Yarrowia lipolytica: one gene and its partner. The protein of the gene in region 2 interacts with the protein of the main gene of each other region in a pairwise test. Links are inferred from orthologs where the notes say so. Each region holds a gene or a part of one and is shown on either strand. Other genes may lie near its edges. The genes, in order: YALI1_E23313g and YALI1_D21565g.

Region 1 (2,939 bases), on a different chromosome or scaffold from region 2:
ACCAGAAGGAGCAGACCAAGTCAAACGGTGATGGTACTGCTGTTACTACTAATGGCTCCGTTTCTGCACCTACCGCTACACCTACCGCCACGCGCAGCGACCACGTGGTCCCCTTTGCCGTCGTGGGCGTGGTGTCCGATGGCTCGCCTGCTTCTTCGGTGGGACTCAAAATCAACGACAAAATCGTACGACTGGGAAACGTGGAGGCTACTACTCCTCGTATCCCTCAAGCCTTGCCTCTCGCGGTTGTTGAAGGAGTGAGTATTATATTATGACATGGATGGGTTGGCTATGTGACTCTGAACAGGTTGTTTGTTTGTTTGTTTGCTAACACAGAACCCCGTGGATGTGGTGGTTCTCCGAGAAGAAGAAACTCTCACCCTCACGCTGCTCCCAGCCAAGTGGGAAGGAAATGGGCTTATCGGGGCGGCATTGAGACTGCTGTAAGTCGGTTCTTCCGCGACCCATGCTTATCGGCTCATTTTGACCCAGCTCTCTTTCTCTCCCCCTCTTTTCCTCTAACCTCCATGAAGAGTTGAGGCAAAGATGATGACATCTCGGGGCTGCAAAATGTACTGGTCTTCGCCCTCCAGCTCCCAGTCCGAATCGTTGATGAGCACCAACACCCCGGGACGCACACTTTCGTCCTGCAAGAAGATGTTTTTGCCCTCTTCTCGCTTGTGATCCGGCATCAGAGTCTCCACCATATGGTGCAACAGCCAATTGACTGAGGAGCCCTCCGGCACGTCCAGCACGTGCTTTTTGTTGCCGTCGAAGGCGGTTTCGAGCCCTCCACTGGGTTAGTTGACGTCGCGGGTGTTTCCTGCGCCTCTTGCTACTCACCTGAATTCCACAGTAATTTGCATGGTGTGCGGTTGGTATAGGCAAGAAGATGATGCATGCTTTTATTAATATAGGCACTTGATCTTGATTCTGCCTACAAGTAGATTAGGGTTACGACGAGGGGCATCTTTCTGTTGCTTTTGTGGCTAAAAGAGAAGTAGTGGCGACATCTGAACTGCTCCTTGATATATAATATGACTGATTAATGCATCATTTCAAATTTCAGCGTCAAGGCTGCCTTATTGCGATTGTTTTCGTTACTTATTAATATTCAACAAAAAATTGATATATAGTTATTTTTGTACTTGACATTTATAAAGTGTACTTTGGAGACGTGAGTTCAAATCTCACCGAGGACACAACTTGAAAATTTTGAGACAATTTGAGGGAAAAGATAAAAAAATTACCAAAATCGTCAGAAACGGTCAGAAACTTGTGAACTACTCAACCAATGCTTCATAAAACACTTTTGGTACTTCGACTCAACATGTAATTATGTAATTATACTCACACGTAACTAGATCCACATTACAACAGTTTTTCCCCTCTCACCTCACGCCCCCAACCCCTCCCACAATTACTAAGCAGCTACTCACCATTACTAAGCAGTCACATCATTACTAAGCTACCGTACCATTACTAAGCAAAAAACCACCATTACTAAGCAGCCACATTAGGTTGAAGTTATGGGGAATGGCGTCAGAACAGCAGAGTAAAACGGAGAGGCCTGCCATAAAATGGACTGACTATGGGAAATGTGGGTGTCACGTGAACGCCTGGAGTGGCTACCCAGCGTATGTGGTTCTTGTCTTTTTCCGCGCGGATTTTCCCCGTCAATTCGAAATTCCACGGCGTTCCATCAGCATCCACCAGTCACTTCTTGAGTCAGAGTGCCGTATGTTGTCTGAGATAGTGTGTGTACTGTATGTAGAAGAAAGAAAAAAAAAAAAGACATGGTGGGTTTATTTCGTCGAAAGTGGACGCTTTTTGGGCGCAGAAAAGGCCAATCTACTCAGAATAGAAATATGTATTTAATGGCGTGTCCATAATCCACCAAACTCTTTCCATACTTGCTCCACAAGCAGCTCGTGTGTCGTTCCTGTCGTATCTTTCAAACTTAGATTCAACTCTACTCCCACCACCAACATCTACTGTACACACTTGTTTTTGGACAACACTTGCACAACACTACACTAATCCCGCAAAATGAAGATCAGTCTTGTTGCTGCGGCCATGGCTCTGGCCTCCACTGCATCTGCCTGGGGCAAGAAGGCCGGCCCCGTTGAGATTCCCGTGGCTTCTCATCTGCAGTTTTCTGCCGTCGCCCAGATCGGCTCCAACTCGGACGTGGAGGCGTCTGACGCCGGATTTTTCGTCGCCAACACCTTCATCAACGGCGAAGACGTGCCCATCAACCTGGTGTTCGAGAACAAGGAGAAGGACCCCATCTCTGTGGTGGCCGTGGGAGGCACCTTCTACGACCTCAAGACCGACAAGGTGGTGGTCAGCGTCCAGGGCACCCAGGTGGGACCCATCAAGGTCGACAGCGGCAAGACCGCGGCCCTGACCCACCAGTTCGAGACCAACCTCGATGCCAAGGTCTACCGAAACGTCATCCAGGTCTACATCCAGTACGGCAACGAGGTGTACCAGGTGCACGCCTTTGACGGCCCCGTGTCGATTGTCGACCCCTATGTTTCTCCTCTGTCTTTCAAGTTCCTGTTTGCCCAGATTGTGCTGGGAATCACCGCCGCTGCTCTGGGATACTACGTTGTTAACGTGTACGCCATCCCATACGCTACCGGCACCTACGGACAGGAGAAGAAGCCCGTTCGAGCCAAGCCTGTGGTTCCTGCTGGCTCCGGCGTCAAGACTGGACCCAAGGGCTACGATGAGAGCTGGATTCCCAAGCACCATCTCGACCAGGAGAAGGTCAAGGTGAAGAAGAGAAGTTAAGCTGAGCCATGACCAAGGTTTGCGTGACAGATTTTTTCTTTTCCAAGCACACCTGTTGGTGGCGGACGTTAATGGATTGTGACACTCGTGTTGTCTGCTGACATTGATAACTCCTGCTGTCAATAGGTGTGTCCTGGTTA
Region 2 (3,654 bases):
AACCGACCAATCGCTTCAAATTCGTATCACATTCATACATTCTGATCTCGTGTAAAGTTCCATATCATCCTATCTCCCGTCTCTCATGTAAGCCACCAAGCCACACATTGCAATAGGCATTCTTTGGGCTTATTCATGGCAAATATCATCATACGCCACCAATGCTGTACATTTAATCGGATGAACAATTTGATAGAGAGTGTGGTCTTTCTTTGGTGTCTTCTGTGCATCATATTGATATGTGTGCAACCTGATGTGCATGCTTCAGACGGAAATGACGTCATTCTGTTCACACCCATTCCTGAGCTGTTAAATTTCGTCTTCCAATCCCCTGTTTTCGCCATACTACCCTCCTTTCTCCACAATATGAATCTCATACTCGTGGCTTATCCCCACTCTCCGACTTTAGCCACACTTGTCGGACTCCGAAGAAGCAGAAATATGGGACGATAATGATTGATTGTTTCGTAATGTGGCTAATCCAGCTGTTCTGAGCCGTTCAGAGCTCCCTCTGCTTACGACTATGAGCTTAGCACGACAAATAGAGCACTTTTTAGATGCGTCTCGCTGGTGTTGATTCTTCACCCATCATGGCTACCCCATGTATCAATAAATAACTATGCTATATACCACTAAATACTCAAGGCCAGCTTCTCCAAGGTCTTGATGTTTTTAGCAGCTCCGTCAGCGCTGTCTCCCTCAATCTGCATCTTGGCTCGTCCAGCATTTAGACCCTCCAGCAAGACACAGGCCTTGCAAACGGCATTATGAGATAAATAGCCACACTTGGTGCATCTGTTGGAGAGCCCAAGGCTGGAATCAAATGCTAGAGGTACCGAACAGCCACCGGAGGGGACAGGTTTTTCCTCCACCTTGGCCTTCACAACCACAGAGCCCTTGCCTTTCTTCTCCTTCTTCTTCTTGAGCACAAAGGCTTCTCCAGAGTGAATGATGTCAATGATGGTAGACGGTCTAATGGCCTCCAAATTTTTGATCAGCGTACGAGCCGTGCCCCGGAATGCCTCGGGAGAGTATGTGCACTCGGTGGAAAAGTAGTCGAGCTTCTTGTAATGGGCATAAAGCACAATCTCCTTTTCATATGCGTACTTAAGAGGCTTACTTCTCTTGACAGGAGAGTCATCTGAACCAGTCACCAGTTCGGTACATCTATCCAGACGAGCAGTATCGCCCCGTAACAAGTTCATCAGCACTGTCTCGGCCATATCGTCAGCATTATGACCTGTGACGATATGTGCGATTCCTAGCTTGGCACTACCTCTATCAAGAGCCTGTCTTCGAAACACTCCACAGTAGGTGCAGTTGTTCTTGTTGCCGATCTGGGCCACAATCTGGTCCATGCTCCACCCGTACAGCTCACTGTAACTGACCACCTCCAGATCCATGTCGTACTGCACCTTGTTTCGCTTCACCGTCTCCAGAGAGTCGTCTCGGTAGCCATGGATACCCTCGTCGATAGAGAGCAGCACAAAGTCCACACCATAGTTGTACCGCTCATTCAGCGTTTTCATCACGTGCGCAAGCACCGTACTGTCTTTGCCACCACTGGCTCCAATGGCCACCCGTTCTCCCGGAAAGAAGAGGTTTGATTCAACAATCGTGTTGTGGATTTCGGTCTCAAACACGTTGTAGAAGCACGGTTTGCAGATGGGTTGCAGCGTCTTGGGTCGCTTCAGCATGGCCTTGCGGCACTCGCACAGCACACACAGCATTTTTCCGATCTTCTTGTGTTGTAGAAGGAGAAACGGCTAATTACTCAGCATTTTTCAAAAAATCACCCAGGTTGCGTTTTATACGCATGTTAAATGCTTATTTAGTAAGTTTATTTATGGTGGTTGTGGGTTCGATCCGGAGCCGCGTCAAAATGTTTTAATTTTGATATAATTTTGATATAACGCGCTTCTCGCATATCTGAGGAGCTTTACTGGCTTGTATAACCAAATGGTATTGATTTCAGCCTCATTCGAATCTATATACATCTAAACACGTGTGATCGTACGGCGCTGTTCCTGTTTTTTTTTTTTTCTTTTGTTTTTTTTTTTGCGAATTTTATTTTTCCGTGGATCCACACTAAGGTTATTTTCGTGCAGGGTGGTATTGGTGACGGGTCCTGTTGAGCCGCTTAATTCCATCTATACCGTCAAACAAACGCCATCACTGCGTTCCTCTCGTTTCCAGCTCTTGATTCGTATCTCTAACGATCCGCATTATCGTCTGCATTCTTACAAACCGCTCCATATCGTGGCTTAAGCCACATGCACGCACACCAAAAAGAACATAAAAAGAAAGAAAAGAAGAAAAGAAAAAGAAGAAAAAAAACACCCTGGACGAGTAGATCTGTAATGACATGATGGTTGGGAGCTTTCCTCTTACTGCGTTCTGAACCCCACATCTACCACCATGGCGACCATTGCAATTGATAGCAACCCTTTTCAGTCTCTGAAGGCGCTTTCTGAACCCCACTTTGACACTGAGCGTCCTCGAATGGTCCAGTCTTCTCCCTACACGGGTCAGGCTCACCTGCTGGACCTCGGAGGGGTGCCCCAAAACCTCCATGAGATTGTGGTTGCCCTCCGGGACCTTTTCCGGGCCGTCAAGCCCGATTATGCTGTAGGTGACTACATCGAGTCGTTCCCGTTTGAAGACCTGACTCCCCTGGTGCCCGAAGGCGTCACTCTTCACTGCGTGGCTTTCCGATCCCGGCTGTTTGAACACGTGCGAACCTCCCACGATATGCGTCAGAAGCTCTCCGACCTCGACGAGTCTTCTCATGCCGAGGCTAACAACTCTGGAGGTCTGCTCAAGTACTGGTTTGGCGTGCCCGACGAGGCCGGAAACAATCTGGCCACCTGTGTGTGGATCAGCAAGAAGCACGCTGACGACGCCACCGCTCATCAGCGTCATAATGCCGCCGCCAAGACGGTCCGAGGCTGGTATGAGAACTGGCAAGTAGAGATCTACGAATGGTCTCGGGCAGGACTCACCCGGGTCCGATAACAAGTTGCACAACGTACAGGGGCATCCCAGGATGAACGCGCCGAGACGAAGACGGCCGTCGTCCGAATCCGTTGGCTGTATTATTGATATTGTCTCCTCATGAGAATGGGTGGATTGATGATTCTTTAATGGCCGTCAGTGTTGCTGAACAGGAGCTGGGTCTGGGTGAAGCTATAGTACAAATCTCGTGCTATAGCATTTTTCAAGTCCTCCCTGAACAAGCCCCGCTAACCCCTTCTGCAGCACTTTCAAGGGTACTACGTCTGTGCATCATACCTAGCTAGCTACAAGTAGTTCAGGTACAAGGCACGGTCCTGAGTCACAAGTCGCTCAAGTCGTTCGAACGAAAGACATTATTTATATTATAGATCAACATGTTGTTGAAGATAAATACTTGTTTTGCTGTAGACGGTGAAGTGTCTCATATTGTAGCTACGGTACTACCTGCACTTGGTATGTCTCACTAGCTACTCTCTTTAGATCTTTTAGGTGAGTATATCTTGAGAAGTGGCAATCTCAGAGATACTCTGAAAACTTCTGAAGGAATATCAAGGGCTATATCAACCCCCATGCCGAAATCCAACCCTCTGCCGCAGTCTTTCACCCCCGTTTTATTACTTCTCAATATTCCATTATTGA

Evidence for each region.
Region 1: the proteins of YALI1_D21565g (region 2) and YALI1_E23313g interact in binary tests that used the Saccharomyces cerevisiae proteins (3 or more experiments, as listed by UniProt). The link is inferred for Yarrowia lipolytica from reciprocal best matches to the Saccharomyces cerevisiae genes NCS6 and URM1.

Annotation. Positions count from the first base shown.
Region 1 is NC_090774.1:2,330,480-2,333,418, forward strand, and holds YALI1_E23313g (uncharacterized protein), read right to left. Parts: upstream 867-2,939; coding exon 844-866; intron 796-843; coding exon 519-795; downstream 1-518. Other genes in the region: YALI1_E23302g (uncharacterized protein), read left to right, coding at 1-257, 337-447; YALI1_E23325g (uncharacterized protein), read left to right, coding at 2,050-2,799.
Region 2 is NC_090773.1:2,154,593-2,158,246, reverse strand, and holds YALI1_D21565g (uncharacterized protein), read right to left. Parts: upstream 1,731-3,654; coding exon 633-1,730; downstream 1-632. Other genes in the region: YALI1_D21553g (uncharacterized protein), read right to left, coding at 2,173-2,922. UniProt on the Saccharomyces cerevisiae protein: Plays a central role in 2-thiolation of mcm(5)S(2)U at tRNA wobble positions of tRNA(Lys), tRNA(Glu) and tRNA(Gln). Directly binds tRNAs and probably acts by catalyzing adenylation of tRNAs, an intermediate required for 2-thiolation.